Linked DNA regions of Canis lupus familiaris. The protein of the gene in region 1 purifies or fractionates together with the protein of each later gene. This does not show direct contact. Links are inferred from orthologs where the notes say so. Each region holds a gene or a part of one and is shown in the gene's direction. Other genes may lie near its edges.

Region 1 (4,096 bases):
TGGGTAGGTACTGCGAGAGGTTCTTGGCCATAGTCCCTGTCGCTCACTTTCTATTGGCCTTCTACACAGTTCTAATGGGTTAGGCGACATGGGGGTGAACTTTAACATCAACTCCAGCACTTGGGGGCCTTCCTAAGTATACTTTTCCACCTGCTAGGGATCCAATCCTGCTTACCTGATCTGCCACTTGCCGGCTCAGCTGTCCCTTAAAGCCCTTCATGCCCAGGAACTCCCCATCCTCTTCTTCAGCAGCAGCTGCATCAGCATCTACTTCTTCTTCACGCAGGCGCTGATGCAGTTCACCCATATCCTCAAAGCTGGAGCCTGAGGTATCATCCATGTTCTCCATGTCAATCACAGCTGAGCCCCCACCCTGTGAAGACAATGGCTTCTAGAGTGCAGGCCCTTTCTGTTCCATCCGCGGGTCCTCCTCCGTTCCTCCCAGGATTTGGGACTTTGTTCTTCCACTGCTGGGGATATGGCTTGGAATCACCATAGATCATACCACTCTCTTCCCCTCATCTGCTCTCAGAATCCTTGGTTGTCTGGCTCTCTTTTCTAGCCTGGGAAACCTACCCCCTGTCTTGCATATATGTCTTTCTTCTACCTTCCCTATCAAATCCTCAGAGGGCTGCAAAAGTGCCCGTTTTGTCTTTTCCAATCCCCAAACAAGGCTGTGCACACAGCATGGTTTTAGCCAGCGCCGGTGAATACCGCCCACTCCCTCGCCATGCCTGGCCCCGATCGACCAACAAACTTGTCTCGAAAGCAAGAGCAGGCAGGCCCAGAGGCACGAGGCCCTCTGGCTGGAGCACCAGTCTGGACCTTTGAGGTCAGCACCAGTCCCACTACCTTCCGTGTACACCAAGAGCCAAAGGAGAGGACAAGTGTTGCAAATGGAGCAGACTTCCAAGCTCCCAGGGAGAGTCCCCGCGACGCTTCAGGACGGCTGCCGGCCCTGCGGCTGCCGGCAGCCGGAGCCCTGGGGCGATTACCTGGATGTTTTCTTCGAACCCTCCCCATTCCGGGCCGGCCCCGCTTCGGGCGCCGCCAGCCGGCGCCGCCGTAGTTGCCATGTCCCTCGAGGGCTCCCGTCGCTGAAGCCCGCGCTAGTCCCGCGCGCGGAGGAGGAGTGGGAGAGACGTGGGCCTGAAGGAGGGAGATGTCTAGGGGCGAAAAAGAGCGGTGGGTTCAGCCGGAACGCAAAAAGGAGAAACCCGGATGTTTGGCCCAAACCGACTTCCGGAAGCTGGGGACGTGGACGGAGGCTGCACAGAATCTCGCGATATTTAACATCCCGGGAGGCGGTGCGTTGCCATGGAGACGAAGGAGGGCGACTGGGACGCGCGCGCCAGTTTGCTGCCCTAGTCACGTGGAGGGGTAGAAGATGGCGGCCGCCCAGGCGGTGCAAGAGATGCGGACCCGCGTGGTTCTAGGGGAGTTCGGGGTTCGCAATGTAAGCCCGTGGCCTTGAACTCGGCAAGAGAAATGAGAGTGGAACAGGAGGGATGAGTTGGGATCGGAGTTGGGGCGGGTTTGCCCTACCTGCCCCTTCGCAGACTCGTCTCTCTTTGGTCTAGGTTCATACCACCGACTTTCCCGGTAACTATTCCGGCTATGATGATGCCTGGGACCAAGACCGCTTCGAGAAGGTAGGTGGGGCTGGAGAGGGTATTGGGAACGGATCGTGTGATCTGAGCGGCCTGTGCTTTGGAAACTGCCCGTGGGATTCGCTGCGTTCATAAAACGTTTATTGAGCAATATGCTAGGCCCTCCGTGTACATGGTCTGTGCCCTGTTCGTCGAACAAGATGTTTAATCTTGTTGAAGAGCACGCATAAATGACTCCAGTATGATGTAAAGGTGGTTGGTAGCGATAAGAAAGGACAGTCGTGACTAGGGTGACCCCTGAGGGGCACTTAATCTGGAACGGAAAGCGGGGCAGCGGTATGGAAGATTTCCTTCCTGCAGGAGATGACATCTGAATTGAGCCCTGAACGATGAGTAAAATCTGAGAAAGGGTAAGGGTGAAGGTGGGGGGACGAAGACTAGAAGCTACATTATAAAGGCTTTGTGAACTGTGTTCCAAGAACGTCCAGTTTATTATTGCTAGAATGTAAAGTCGGGCAGCATGAGTGCTAGGCAAGATTGAAGTGCATCTTAGACACTGTAGGTGATAGGGGAAGTTTTGAAGAGCTCTGAGCCAGATGTGATCTGATTTGCATCCTTAACTGTTGGGAAAGATCATAGAGGGTAGTCAGATTTGTGACAGAATTGCATAGAGGAGCTGAGGTTGAAGGTATGAACTAAAATGATAATCAGGAAAGTAGAGCAAAAAGGAGACATGATAAATTTGGTGACTGTTTTGATGTGGGCTGTGAGGAGGGAGTATAAAATAACCTACCTTGAGGAACTGCTTTAATGGATGGTGGTGCCATTTACTGATGAAAAATAGGTCTGGGGAAGGGGAATGATGCTGCATTGTTTCCTGAATGTGAGGTCTAGCAGGCCAGTAAAATGTGTGTTTGAAAGGAGATGAGAAGTGAGAATTTGGGAGTTTTCTGTATATATAGTTGTTAAACCCATGAGCGTGATTGAGGTCACTTTGGAGAGAGATAAAAATCCAGAAAATAGTGACTTTATGGAGTGGGTAGGAGATAGTGAATTTAGAAGGATTCATTGGAGGAGAAAGAACCAGAAGATTGGTGCTCAGAAACCAAGGCAGAGTTGGAAAATGGAGGGATTCTATCAATGCCCGATGGAGGAGTCTAGTAAGAAAGGACAGAGTAGAATGGTCTCTGTGGGTGGTCTGGTTGGAGGATTTAAATGAATAGAGGATAAAAATGGGAACTTTTCAAGAAGTTCATGAAGAATTGGGGGAGAAGGGAACAGCTATGAGGTACATCTGGCCAAAGGGAGGTTCTTGGGTGAGTGGGAACATTGTTGCTGGGGCTGGGGGATATCCAGAGGGACGGTATTGATTCCACAGAGGCCAAGGCTTCATTTAGTGCATTTTCTGTCCCTGTAGAATTTCCGTGTGGATGTAGTGCACATGGATGAAAACTCATTGGAGTTCGACATGGTGGGAATTGATGCAGCCATTGCCAATGCTTTTCGACGCATTTTATTAGCTGAGGTATTTATTGGTGGGCATGGTGGCAGGGACGGAGTTGGGTGGAAACTGAGCCATCACCTTACTTGGAGAATTCTTAGGTTGCTCCTTTCATTTTCCTGAGCATTCCTCCTGAACTTTTCATCAGGTGTTTTTCTGGGAATAGGGCCCCCTGTGTCAGGAAGTAGGAGTAAATAGGGAGTCTGTAGGGTCTCTGTAGATGAATGATTTTATTTTTTGGGCAGGTGCCAACCATGGCTGTGGAAAAGGTCCTGGTGTACAACAACACATCCATTGTCCAGGATGAGATCCTTGCTCATCGCTTGGGGCTTATTCCCATTCATGCTGATCCTCGTCTTTTTGAGTATCGGAACCAAGGTCAGCGCTTGAGAAAACGAAATTGTGGCAAAATGGGAACAGCTGTCTCCTAAAGTAGATTCTAGAGGATCTACTGCCTACGTTCAAATCCTGGCTTGATTACTGTGACCATGAGCAAATCACTAATGTTTTGGTACATCAGTTCTGATCTGTGTGAACACTTGCCCTGGTCTTCTGAAATTGGAAATTTGTCCGAGGAGTAAATGAGAAGTGTAGATTAATGCACTCAAATACTCAGTCGTTCTTTAAGAGCTGCCACTTTCATCCTTTGTTCAGGGGATGATGAAGGCACAGAGATAGATACTCTGCAGTTTCGGCTTCAAGTCAGGTGCACACGGAACCCCCATGCTGCTAAAGATTCCTCTGACCCCAATGAACTCTATGTGAACCACAAAGGTGAGTGGTGGTATGGTGAGTAGGAAGGCCCACCTCTTGATGGGTACTAGTTTTAAGGATTGATGTTTTCCTGATGTGCTTTCTCCAGTGTACTCCAGGCACATGACATGGGTGCCCCTGGGGAATCAGGCTGACCTCTTCCCAGAGGGCACGATCAGACCCGTGCATGATGATATCCTCATTGCTCAGCTGAGGCCTGGCCAGGAGATTG
Region 2 (4,150 bases), on another chromosome or scaffold:
ATTCATATTTTCCCAGGGAGCAGAAAGTGATGGAAAAGAGAGGTTGCAAGGTGAAAGGGAATCAATGAACTCGGGTGGTGGCTAGCAGAAAAGGTAAAGTGGGGATTGTGATAAATGGGACTCCGGGGCTGGCAGCAGATCCCTATATGGTCTTGTAAGTACCTTAGCCATATTAAGGAGTCTGTGTTACCCTGAGAAACCTGGGGCGCCCATGGGAACAAGTCATGGTTCTATTTGTGTTTGGGAGAAGGGGCTCCCGGGGGTCCTCTTGACCATCAGGACTAAGCTTCCACAGGCACTTCTGCGGTTTGGGAAGTGAGGACAGACAGAAGTATCCCCAATAGGCCGATGTTTCCGCCGTGGACCCCACAAGCCGTGGGGCCGACTCGATATTTGAGGGTACAAGAGAGGCTCCTAGGGGACCAGCTGAGCTGAGCCCTTTGGAAAGTGGTAAGATCTCTTGAGTTAGTTGTTACAGGCTGAGCAGAGAGTCCAGACGGGAGAGAGAGATGATGGGTTGATTTTCAGATGTCTCGCAGTTGAGGCATCTGGGCTGCATTTTAGGACTGGATTCCCTGCAGAAAATACATGCCCTAAAATTTTAAAGTTTATTATTTGTATTGTCCACGCTGGCAAAATTTACCAGACCACGTTATTACTGGAAACTATCAAAGTGCGAACCCCTATTAAGTCTACATATTAAATCCAAAAAAGAGGGGATCCCTGGGTGGTGCAGCGGTTTAGTGCCTGCCTTTGGCCCAGGGCACGATCCTGGAGACCCGGGATCGAATCCCACATCAGGCTCCTGGTGCATGGAGCCTGCTTCTCCCTCTGCCTGTGTCTCTGCCTCTCTCTCTCTCTCTCTCTCTCTCTCTCTCTCTCTCTCTCTGTAACTATCATAAATAAAAAAATTAAAAAAAAAAAAACAAAAAAAAAAAAAACAAAAAAGACGTTACGGGGAATCCCCTGGGTGGCTCAGCGGTTTGGCGCCGCCTTCAGCCCAGGGCGTGACCCTGGAGACCTGGGATCGAGACCCGCGTCGGGCTCCCTGCGAGGAGCCTGCTTCTCCCTCTGCCTGTGTCTCTCATGAATAAATAAATAAATAAAATATTAAAAAAAAAAAAAAGGACGTTAGCGGACGGTTTGGCTGCCCCGAGGAGAGGAGGTGGTGGCCGGGCCTGCAGCACGCTCCGGACTTGAGCCGCGGCTCTCCGCTCCCGCCGCCGTCCCGCAGGCGGAAAAGCGGCTGCCCTCTGCTGGTCACAAGCGCGTAACGCGACTCAAGGAGAGCAATTTCCTAGGGGCGGGCCGGCGGGTGGATGACGTGGAACCCGGGCGCCCGCAGGAGGCGGCGGCGCGTGCGTCAGCCGTGGGCGCCGCGGGAAAGCTGGCCGAAGCGCATGGCTGCGGGTTGCTGCGAGTCTCCGCCGCCTAAGGCGGCCTCTGAGGGGCCGGCCGGCGTGTTGCCTTGCCTAGAGCTTCCGACCTACGCGGCGGCTTGTGCGCTGGTGAGTAGCCGTTACTCCTGCCTGGTGGCGGGGCCGCACCGAAGACACATCGCGCTTTCGCCGCGCTACCTTCACCGGAAACGCACGGGTATCCGGGAACAGCTGGACGCGGAGCTGCTGCGCTATTCCGAAAGGTACCGGCCCCTCGGGCCCTTCCTGCGTGCGCCGGCGCACGGGCGGGGGTAGCGACGAGGTAGCAGAAGAGGCGTGAGGGGGCAGGAACGCCCTGGCCACCTGGACGCCCTCGGGACTCTTCTTCGGGCCCGGAAGGCCGGTACCTGCCTAGTCGGTCCATGTAACAGGCAGGAAGGGGGACGGGCTAGAGGAGCTTGCTCTATGGCGTTCAGGGGGAAGAATAGAGCAGGGGCCTAGAAACCCCGTCGGCCCGGGTGCCCCCGCCCCTCCCCCCGCAGAGGGAGAAGCAGGCTCCACGCGGGGAGCGCGACGTGGGGCTCGATCCCGGGACTCCAGGGTCACGCCCCGGGCTGCGGGCGGCGCTAGACCGCTGGGCCACACGGGCTGCCCGAGAGATACTTCTGCTGGGTTCTCTTGCTTGGGACCTGATCAGGGACGAGAAAAGTACTGTGTTTTTATTTATTTATTTATTCATTCATTCATTCATTCATTCATTCATGATAGAGAGGCAGAGGGAGAAGCAGGCTCCATGCAGGGAGCCCGACACGGGACTCGATCCGGGGACCCCAGGATCACGCTCTGGGCTGAAGGCAGGCGCTAAACCGCTGAACCACCCAGGGATGCCCCCTTTGTTTTGTTTTTAAGAGCAGTTTAATTAATCTAACTGGCCATTCTGTTGGGCTTGGGGGTGAAAAACCTTTGTGGTTCGTTTAATGTGTTCAGAAGAAACGGAGTTACAAGAACGGAGGGTCAAAGGAAGGGGGCATGTGTACTTTAATATTGCAATAGGGCTGCTTTGCCTCAAAAGCAAAGGTTCCGGAGCTGGGACAAGTGGAATTCCTGGGGATTCCTTACTGCACTTCAGAAATTTCATGACATCCTCCCCCCACCCCCACCCCCCTCCTCGGGAAATTTGCTGTCCGTGTTCTAGGTCAAAGTATCCAAAGTGTTCCCTTTCTCCAGGGATCCTGAACAGGTTAAGAAGCAAGCAAGTCTAGGATGTACGGCTCATTCCAAGCACCAGCACCCTTGTGTGGTGGCTGTTTTATGTACTAGGGACTTAGGATTTAAAAACAAAGAAAAAACAAGATCCCTGTTTCAAGAAACTGTAAGCTCTAGTAAAGATATAAATGTCAGATAAATCGAATGAAATGTTAAAATTTGACAGAGGTCTAAAGTTATATTAAGAGAAAGAGTAGTGAATTTGATATTAGGACCTCTGAGATGGTAGTATTCAAGGCATAAAAAGTGTAACGTAAACGGATAGTAGATAAAAATAGACTGCTTTGGTCAGAGAATTGTAAGTACTATATAATTGGAGTAAGATTTATGTTAAGAGGAAAGAAAGTGTGTGCAGTTGAAGAGAGCAGAGGCAGCGTGGGGGATCACTCAGGATGTACATTTTGCTCTTTCCTTCTTATCTACTAGGTTTTTTTTTCCTCTTTGCTTAAGCAGGCTTGGCGCTTGGTCCTCCTAGTGCCCTCCAGTTCTGAAATTTGGTGCACTCTGGAGAGAGTAGTGCATATCCGATCTCTGGGACATGATCAGATACACAGTTGAAGAAGAAACCACGCTTGATAGCATTAGCTGATGGCTTGAGTGAGGCTGTAGACATGGAGACCAATTAAGAGATTGTTACAACTGTCCAAGAGAAAATGACTAGAGAGTATGGAATTGAGAGTTATTAAGGATATAAAAGTGGTCATAAAATCTGGAAAGAGGCATTGTTTGATATACTTACTACTTTCTGGAACCAATCAGTGCTTCCACTTGACAGGCTAGGAGGAAGCCACCTGAAGTGTCCCAAGTCCGAGCCATTACCCCAGAGATATAAGGAACCCATGGACAGTGTGGCCTTATGGAGCAGGTTGCGCTCTGAACAAATGAGGACTGCCCACCACACCCTCCCCTCCCCCACCCCCCAGTACCACTCTGGGTAGTGGGCTACCCCAGTGTGATAAAGACTCGGACTTAGGGCAAATAAAGCAGCACACATTGAACTATACATTTCTAATTAGGGACGAAACCTTGAACTGTAATGTCAATCATTTATCGTGTATAGGTAGATTTACAGACTTTGGCGCCATCAGGAGGAATCAGGAAGACTTGTTTCACTTTGTTTGAGAAATGAGGAAAACCAGAGTGTTGGGAAGTGGAGGAGGGACAATAAAGTATCCCCCAAACTGAGAAGGCACTTTGAGATTTGAAAATGAAGTAGGTGACTCCATACATTTTACACACCCTTCGATTCTGGGTAATTTACTGACATAGGGGACTGGACATGTGATTATCCTGCAGCTGCACAGCTATTCTCCACAAAGTTTGGGCCTTAGTTCACATTTACAGAGTACAAAGGGGTGTGCAGAAGGCATTTTGGTTAGGTCAGAGGTCTAACACTTAACAGACTTTCTGGTGCCACGTGTGCTCCAGAAGAGGGGGAGGAAAGTGTGTTACCTATAGTAGTTATCTAAACAACTTTAGGGAAAATCAGAACAACTTGTATTCTG
Region 3 (3,983 bases), on another chromosome or scaffold:
TCTACTGTCCACTAGCAAAAGAAAAAACAAAAACAAACAAACAAAAAAACAAAAAACAAGACACCAAGGCACCTGCTCTTCTTAGCACTGAAACATGGCAAAAAAACCTGCACACACACAGAGCTGAACCAGCAGGCAAAAGTAACATAGCACATAGATGAAACTATGACCCTGGATGGGGTGGGGCAAATGGAAAGAAAATGCCCTAAAAGCATGAAAAAGCACAACTTTTGGTGAAGAAGCTAAAATACCATTGAGGCATGTATTCACTAGACTCCATTTGTGTTTCTAGAAACTAAGACAGGGATCCCTGGGTGGCGCAGCGGTTTGGCGCCTGCCTTTGGCCCAGGGCGCGATCCTGGAGACCCAGGATCGAGTCCCACGTCGGGCTCCCGGTGCATGGAGCCTGCTTCTCCCTCTGCCTATGTCTCTGCCTCTCTCTCTCTCTCTCTCTGTGACTATCATAAACAAATAAAAATTAAAAAAAAATTAAAAACTAAGACATGCATGCAGACACATTTAGTAGGATTTCTCACAGGCTGTATCTGAGACACAGTAAATACAGAGGTGGGTTGTTATATAGCCCCCCTGTCTTAAGGCTGAGGCTGGATAGTTCCAAGAAAAAGAACAACCATAACTAATTCTAAAGATGGCTGGCCAAGGGTAGAGTCTACATTCACTCTTGTGGGTCTCCCTGTAGTAGCTTATAACCCAACACACAAGAGCTGGGTTTGGAGGGTTGTAGCTGGCTAGCCTGCTGTAGAAGCACATTCTTCACAACGATTGCACCACTCTCCAGGGGCTAACAGACAATCTGGCAGAAACTGGTGAAAACCAATCTTATGTCAGAGGAGCCAGTCCCCAGCATTCTATCATGGGTCTTTTTATTAAGTGAAGAGACAGAATCGGGGAACGGGGCGGGGAAGGGAGGTGATGCTAAAACACGGGCAGCAGGACAACATGTCCTGACTTCTTCCTAAAGCCATTTCCTTCAATAGTGATAGGACGGACAAGGCAGTCTGCAAGTCATTAGCACACTTGTTTTCACTTTCACAAGAACCCTGGAAACCACTGAGGAGCAAAATCCTCACCTCCCCACAGTTACCTTCCAACCCTCTCTCTCTCCGCGCTTTCTTCCTTCCTTCCCTAGAGACAAGCGAACAGGGACAACCCTCAGCAATCCGCTATTTGGCTCCCCTGGGGATTGGGGGGCGGGGGTGTCCGATTAAAAGTGAAAAAGGCCGTAGAGGAAGGTGAGAAGTGCAGAAGATATCGAGAGGGGGGAAAGAGAGGTCATTGTGGGATAGAGACAAGGTAAGAAAGAGTGAAAGAAAACTAAGGGGAGAGTTGTCAGAACTTGCTGCGAGAGGAAAAAAAGATGAAGCGACGCAGGTGAAGGGCCGGGTGGGAGCGAGGGGCAGGTGGAACATCCGAAGGGGAAAAGGGCTGGGCGGGAGCTCTGGAGCCAGGGCCGGGACGCCCAGGATTTGGGGCCGGAGACCAGAAAACAGCGGGCAGCGGGCATTTGGAAGGCTGGTGTCAGAAAAATCCGGGCTGTGCGGGGCGTTGAAGACCCCTTCGGGGACTGCGGGGCGAAGGATCCCCGCGGATGCCCAAGCGCAGGGGCCACGGGGCTCTTACCGGTAGTTTGGGGCTGACCTCGCCCTTGCAAAAGTGGCAGAAAAACCGGTGCGCGGCGACAGCGGCGCCTGCGCCCGCGCCAGCCGCGGAGGCCTCCGCCATCTTTCTCTTCCGCCGCGGCCGTCCGAGAGGGCAGCGGCCCGTCCCCCGCCAGGCCGCTACCTCCGGGCTGCGGTCGTCGCCTCGGCCGCCGCCGCTTCCTAAGTGCGGCGGGCCGCCGGAGGCCGCGTCGGTCACGTGAGTCGGCCGGGCCCAGCGAGCCGGCGGCGCGGACGGCGACCCCGCGGCCCGCCTCCCGGCACCAAAGAGGCGCAGGAAGGAGAGTCCGCCCGCCGCAGCCTGCCCGCCGGCTCCTCAGACAGCGGCTCGCCGGTCCTCCAGCTTTCCAGCGAGAGGAAAGAAAGAGCGTCACCGGAAACCACCGAAACTCCGGGGTAGAGCGGCACGCGTGGTTCCCCTTTCCCTCCTCCTGGCTGCCCGTCCGCCTGCGAGGGAGGGCCGTGGGCTCCCCCTCTGCCCCGGCGGCCGGTGGGACCCGCAAGAAGCCGCATTGTTAGATTGCGTTGACCCCGAGGTTAGTGGAAAATGCTCCCCTGACGAAGCGGCCCTGTCTGTGGACCAGGGGACCGAGTCTGGAACGGGGACCTGCGTGAAGGGAGTGAAGAGCCGGGAGCTAAGTAGGCTCCCTGGAAGTCCTGTTGCAGGATGGGACAGGGTCCGGGATGCTTCCCCAAGCACATGCGGATGGGAATATAGAGCTGAGAGGCGGAGACTTGGCCTCTGGGGATTTGGGAGACTAACTGAACAACTCGATGCTTGGTAGCCCTTGGGATAATAAGTAATTATACTTTAGGGTCAGCTGTGTCTGTTTCTGTGTATGTTTACTTTCTCAAGGAGTAGAAATTTCAGAATTAAATACTGCCTTTCAGACAACATACTTCATCTCCTGTTTGAAACACCCAGTTGAGAAGCTTTCCTTTGCCTCCTTTTCTTCTTCTAAGTTGTCATTTCCTTTATGGACTGAGGTGACACTACCTGTTCATTCCCAACGGCCGTGAACAGTGGCCTTAATTCTTCCAAGCAATGGAGTATTGAATCTAAAGTCCGTGACATCGCAAAATCATCTACACCCAACTTTTAAAGAAAATTAGAATCACTCATAATCCCATTAAAGTAAATTTGACATATAGTCTTCCAGTCTTTTTTTCTATGCATTTTTCTTGCGGTTTTGTTTGTTTGTTTTTCATTATGATTTAATTGTCCTCTACGTTTTGCTTTGTGACCTGCTTCTTTCACTTAAGGAACAATTTTCTATGTTCATATGTATTATACTTTGTTTTAAATGGTGGCTAGTATTCCAATGTATGGGTATGCCATCATTTATTGAGTTAATTCCTATTGTTAGACATTCAGTTGTTTCCAGCATATCAGTATAATAAGGGAAATTACAGTGACTTTTATTTTCTTGAGACAGTATCTAAAATGAAATTTTTTAAAGATATACTGTTAAAATTGCCATCTAGAAAGTACACGAATTTGCACTACTTCCAACAAAAGAGGAAAACTATCCATCATATGGCCTTTTTTCCCTCTAGCTCTGAGACTTCTCAGTACAATGACTCAAGCAGAAATTAAACTTTGCTCTTTGTTGCTACAAGAGCATTTTGGAGAGATTGTAGAAAAAATTGGAGTCCACCTAATCAGGACTGGCAGCCAGCCACTAAGAGTAATTGCCCATGACACAGGAACATCACTGGATCAGGTATGTGTGGACGGCATTAATTTGCTTTCATTCTTTATCTACCTTTAAATATTATTCCTCCCCACCCCACAAAACAAAAAAAGAGAGAAAGTCTGCCCTAGGATCAGAACAGTGTTATTTGGGGAATGAGGGGGGGATAAGATGTAGGCCTCAAGGTTCTGCTCTCAAGGTATTCCTGGTTCATCATGGCTTCTTAGGCAAATCTTTGCTCCTAATATGCTACACCTTGCTTATTCATAATAAGTCTATTAATCTCAGTGCTACCTTTAAGGAATAAGAATAACGGAGGGGAAGTACATTGTACTTCGAAAGGTTTTTTTGTTTTGTTTTTAGAGAGAAGCTGTGCACACACACACATATTCCGGCTAGGGTGAGAAAGAATCTGAAGCAGGCTCCACCCTCAGCCTTTGTCTTGATGTAGGGGCTCTATGTCAAAACCCTGAGATCATGACCTGAGCTGAAATCAAGAGTCAGATGCTTAACCAACTGAACCACCCAGGTGCCCCACATTATACTTTGAATGATCAGAGGAAATGAGTGTCAGAGGGAGGAATCTTACTGTTTTCTTCCATTCACATGT
Region 4 (4,128 bases), on another chromosome or scaffold:
TAAGATATTTATTTATTGGGGCGCCTGAGTGACTCAGTGGTTGAGTGTTTGCCTTCAGCTCAGGTCGTGATCCCCAGGTCCTGGAATGGAGTCCTGCATTGGGCCCCCTGCATGGAGCCTGCTCCTCCCTCTGTCTGTGTCTCTGCCTCTCTGTGTATCTCTCATGAATAAATAAATAAAATCTTAAAAAAAAAGATATTTATTTGTTATTAGAGAGAGCACACGAGCAGGGGGGAGGGGTGGGGAGAAGGAGAGGGAGAAGCCGACTTCACACTGCTCATGTTGAGCAGGGAGCCCAACACAAAGCTCTTTCCCAGGACCCTGAGATCATAACCTGAGCTGAAGTCAGATGCTTAACTGACTGAGCCACCCAGGAGCCTCAATTTATTTAAGTAATTTCTACGCCCAAGGTGTGGCTCGAATCCACAACCTGGAGATCATCCCACACTCCATGGACTGAGCCAGCCAGGTGCTTCAAAGTATCAGACTTTATTATTAATTTAGTGGGAAGGTACTGGGGTTGTTTTTTGGTCCAATTCATGATCACTTTTCTTTTCTTTCTTTTTTTTAAGATTATGTATTTATATATTCATGAGAAACACAGAGAGAAATAGAGGCAGAGACACAGGCAGAAGGAGAAGCAGGCTCCGTACAGGCAGGGAGCCCCATGTGGGACTCGATCCCCAGAGCCCAGGATCACGCCCTCGGCCGGCCCAAGGCAGGCGCTAAACCGCCGAGCCACCACTGAGCCACCCAGGGATCCCCAATGATCATTTTTCAATTGAGATGTAATCTGCCTACTTAAGTGCAACGATCTTAACTGTCAAGTTTGATGCGTTGTTTTTTGTTTTTTGTTTAAGATTTTATTTTTAAGTAACCTCTATGCCCAATGTAGGGCTTGAACTCACAACCCTGTTAACAAGAGCTGCATGCCCTACTGACTGCCAGGCCCCCACCTGTGTAACCCACCCCCCTAGAAGAAGATAGGAAACATTCCTATCACCCCAGAAAGGTCCCGCCTGCTCCTTTCCAGATAAATCTCCCGCTTCCAGGGTCCTGAAGGGGTCTAAGCAAACTGTGCCGGCTTTTGAGAGGATCCCTCTGGCCGGGCGCAGCGCACCGCCCCGCCCGGGACGGAGAGGAAGAGCGACAGCCCCGCCGGGCAGGTGAGGTCGGGATCGCGCCCACGTTGCCTAGCAACCAGGAAGCGCGGTCGAAGGGCGGCCGGCTCCGCGGGGGCCCACGGGGAGGCCCCGCCCTACGTCGCGCCGCGTCGCGTTGGGGGGCGGGCAGAGGCTTCTTATTGGTCTGTTCTCCGGAAGCGACGGGATTCGGAATCTCGCCCGAAGTCGGCTGCGCGTGGGAGCGCGGTGCATGGCGGCGCGTGGCGCGTGGCGGGACCGGGTCGTGCGGCGGGTGCTCGCGCTCTCTCGCTGGAGCGAGGGCGTCTCCTGCTGAGCCTCAGTTTCCTCAGTTTGCAGAGGCTGCACACGCCCCGCACGGGGTACCCGGCGCCGCACCGCGCAGCCCCTCCGCCGGCCTGGGTGTGTGCGTGGGGGGCGCTCAGCGGCGGGGACGCGCCCGAGGGGGTTCGGGAACGCCCACCGCCCCACACGGCGCGTGACTGAGCCTCCCGCCCCCAGGGCCCCGGCGCAGGCGCGATGTTCGTCCTGGTGGAGATGGTGGACACCGTGCGGATCCCCCCGTGGCAGTTTGAGAGGAAGCTCAACGACTCCATTGCCGAGGAGCTGAACAAAAAGTTGGCCAACAAGGTACCGGGGGCCCACGGGGTCGCTGACAGGCCCTGGCACGGGAGGCCCAGCGCTGCCCTCCTGCCCGCTGCAGGCCTCCCCGGTCACGCCAAACCCTGGCCTTGGACAAGTAGCTTAACTTCTCCGAGCTCAGTTACTTCACCTGCACGTGGGATGTTGGAGTCAAAACAGAAACTGGGGAAATGCCAGATTGCACCCTGTTGGATTACCCGCTCTGGGCCTCAGCTTCCATTTGTAAAATGGAAATAATGATGGCTGTCACACACTGTGTCTGTGAAGATGGACAGTGGTTTAGAGTTAACCATCATTAAGGGGCCCCTGGGTGGCTCCGTCCCTGAAGGATCGGCCTTCAGCTCCTGATCGCAGGGTCTTGGGATTGAGCCCCACATTCAGCTCCCTGCTCAGTGAGGTGTCTGCTTCTCCCTCTCCTCCCTGCTCATGCTCTCTTGCGCTGTCTCTGTCTCGCAAATAAATAGAGTTAACCATCAGGAGATTTATTCTTTTCTTTTTTTTTAAGATTTTGTTTATTAATTCATGAGAGACACAGAGGTAGAGGGAGAAGCAGGCTCCATGCAAGGAGCGCACGCGTTCTCTCTCTCTGTTAAATATATCTTTTTTTTTAAGATTTTATTTATTGATTCATGATAGACACAGAAAGAGGCAGAGACACAGGCAGAGGGAGGAGAAGCAGGCTCTATGCAAGGAACCCGATGTGGGACTCGATCCCAGGAATCTGGGATCATGCCCTGAGCCAAAGGCAGACGCTCAACCACTGAGCCACTCAGGTGTCCCAATAAATATATATATTTTTTAAAATGAAGATTTTGGGATGCCTGACTAAACTGCTCAGCAATTTAGCGCCTGCCTTTGGCCCAGGGCGTGATCCTGGAGTCCTGGGATCCAGTCCCACATCGGGCTCCCTGCAGGGAGCTTGCTTCCCCCTCTGCCTGTGTCTCTGCCTCTTTCTCTCTCTCTCTCTTTCTGTGTCTCATGAATAAATAAATAAAATCTTTTTAAAAAATGAAGATTTTATTTATTTGAAAGAGAAAAAGAGAGAGAAAGCACAAGCACGGTGGGGGGCAGAGGGGGAGGGAGAAGCACTCTGCTGAGCAGGGAGCCTGACTTGGGACTCAATCCTAGGACCCTGGGATCATGACCTGAGCTCAAAGCAGATGCTTCACCAACAGAGCTACCCAGGTACCCTGGGGATTCATTTTTGAGAGTGGGAAAGGGCTGTGCAGAGAGAAGAGTTGGGCAGGCAAAGGAAACTGCATGTGTAAAGGCCCTGTGGCAGGAGGGAATATTTCATCCATCATAACCTGGAGGAGGACTGGTGTGGCCTGGAGAGGAAGAGAGGAGAGTAAGCTGGAAAGGTGGCAGGAGCCAAACCACATGGGGCCTGCAGGATGTCATGGCAGTATTGATTTCCATCTGTAGAATAGCAGGAGGTGATAGGCTGAGAAGGAGCAAGAGGAAGGTTGGCTGGCTTTAGACAGGAGGCCAGTCCCTTCTGTAGATAGAGGCTGAGATCATGGAAGGGAGTTGTTTGCAGCTGTTGGTGGAGAGAACTCATGAAGTCCTTAGTGATTGGCTTCCAGTTACGTTGTGAGGTAGAAGGTAGAGGGGGTCAGTGGAGGGATGAAGTGTGAGCATAGTGGTGACAGAAGGTGTGAAAAGTCCAAGAAGGTAAAAAAAGTAAAAAAAAAAAAAAAAAAAAAAAAAAACTGTTTAAAAAAAAGGGGATCCCTGGGTGGCTCAGCGGTTTAGCGCCTGCCTTTGGCCCAGGGTGCGATCCTGGAGTCCCGGGATCGAGTCCCACATCGGGCTCCTGGCATGGAGCCTGCTTCTCCCTCCTCCTGTGTTTCTGCCTCTCTCTCTCTGTGTCTATCATAAATAAATAAATTAAAAAAAAAAAAGCTGTTAAAAGTCCAAGAAGGGAATGTAGCCCTTTGGGGTATGGGTCCTTCAGGGACCTGTTCAGACGAGTCTTTTATATTAGAATCATTTGAGAGGAAGCTGCACAGAAGAGGTCTGTGGTCTGGCCAAGGGCACAGATCTTTTTTTTTTTTTTTTTTTTTAAGATTTTATTTATTTAATTATGAGAGACACACAAAGAGAGGCGGAGACACAGGCAGAGGGAGAAGCAGGCTCCATGCAGGTACCCAATGTGGGACACGATCCCATCCAGGCCTCCCAAGGGCACAGATCTTGTGCAAGGCAGCCAGGCTCTGTGGCTCATTGTGGTGAGGTCCGGCCCGGACTTGGAGTTCTCTGAGCTTCTTGCTAATCCTTGAACAGTCCTGCAGGGTGTGTATTGGGAGGTGATGACACTGGTGGCAGGTAAGCAGGCTGGTGA

The links. The genes of interacting proteins can lie anywhere in the genome.
Region 2: the proteins of POLR1C (region 1) and POLR1F purify together in Homo sapiens (affinity purification with mass spectrometry; 3 studies listed by BioGRID and IntAct, counting the BioPlex papers as one, with this or other methods). This does not show direct contact. The link is inferred for Canis lupus familiaris from reciprocal best matches to the Homo sapiens genes POLR1C and POLR1F.
Region 3: the proteins of POLR1C (region 1) and POLR3C purify together in Homo sapiens (affinity purification with mass spectrometry; 5 studies listed by BioGRID and IntAct, counting the BioPlex papers as one, with this or other methods). This does not show direct contact. The link is inferred for Canis lupus familiaris from reciprocal best matches to the Homo sapiens genes POLR1C and POLR3C.
Region 4: the proteins of POLR1C (region 1) and POLR3H purify together in Homo sapiens (affinity purification with mass spectrometry; 5 studies listed by BioGRID and IntAct, counting the BioPlex papers as one, with this or other methods). This does not show direct contact. The link is inferred for Canis lupus familiaris from reciprocal best matches to the Homo sapiens genes POLR1C and POLR3H.

The regions. Positions count from the first base shown.
Region 1 is NC_049233.1:12,166,452-12,170,547, forward strand, and holds the start of POLR1C (DNA-directed RNA polymerases I and III subunit RPAC1), read left to right. Parts: upstream 1-1,296; 5' UTR 1,297-1,387; coding exon 1,388-1,456; intron 1,457-1,580; coding exon 1,581-1,652; intron 1,653-3,027; coding exon 3,028-3,135; intron 3,136-3,356; coding exon 3,357-3,489; intron 3,490-3,765; coding exon 3,766-3,885; intron 3,886-3,973; coding exon 3,974-4,096. Other genes in the region: protein YIPF3, read right to left, coding at 176-373, 996-1,076. UniProt on the Homo sapiens protein: DNA-dependent RNA polymerase catalyzes the transcription of DNA into RNA using the four ribonucleoside triphosphates as substrates.
Region 2 is NC_049235.1:33,912,379-33,916,528, reverse strand, and holds the start of POLR1F (DNA-directed RNA polymerase I subunit RPA43), read left to right. Parts: upstream 1-1,350; 5' UTR 1,351-1,400; coding exon 1,401-1,642; intron 1,643-4,150. UniProt on the Homo sapiens protein: Component of RNA polymerase I (Pol I), a DNA-dependent RNA polymerase which synthesizes ribosomal RNA precursors using the four ribonucleoside triphosphates as substrates.
Region 3 is NC_049238.1:59,290,189-59,294,171, forward strand, and holds the start of POLR3C (DNA-directed RNA polymerase III subunit RPC3), read left to right. Parts: upstream 1-1,183; 5' UTR 1,184-1,314; intron 1,315-1,641; coding exon of another isoform or gene 1,642-1,743; exon of another isoform or gene 1,744-1,832; intron 1,833-2,081; exon of another isoform or gene 2,082-2,215; intron 2,216-3,236; 5' UTR 3,237-3,256; coding exon 3,257-3,403; intron 3,404-3,983. Other genes in the region: E3 ubiquitin-protein ligase RNF115, read right to left, coding at 1,642-1,743. UniProt on the Homo sapiens protein: DNA-dependent RNA polymerase catalyzes the transcription of DNA into RNA using the four ribonucleoside triphosphates as substrates.
Region 4 is NC_049231.1:24,684,336-24,688,463, forward strand, and holds the start of POLR3H (DNA-directed RNA polymerase III subunit RPC8), read left to right. Parts: upstream 1-1,328; 5' UTR 1,329-1,544; intron 1,545-1,643; 5' UTR 1,644-1,661; coding exon 1,662-1,772; intron 1,773-4,128.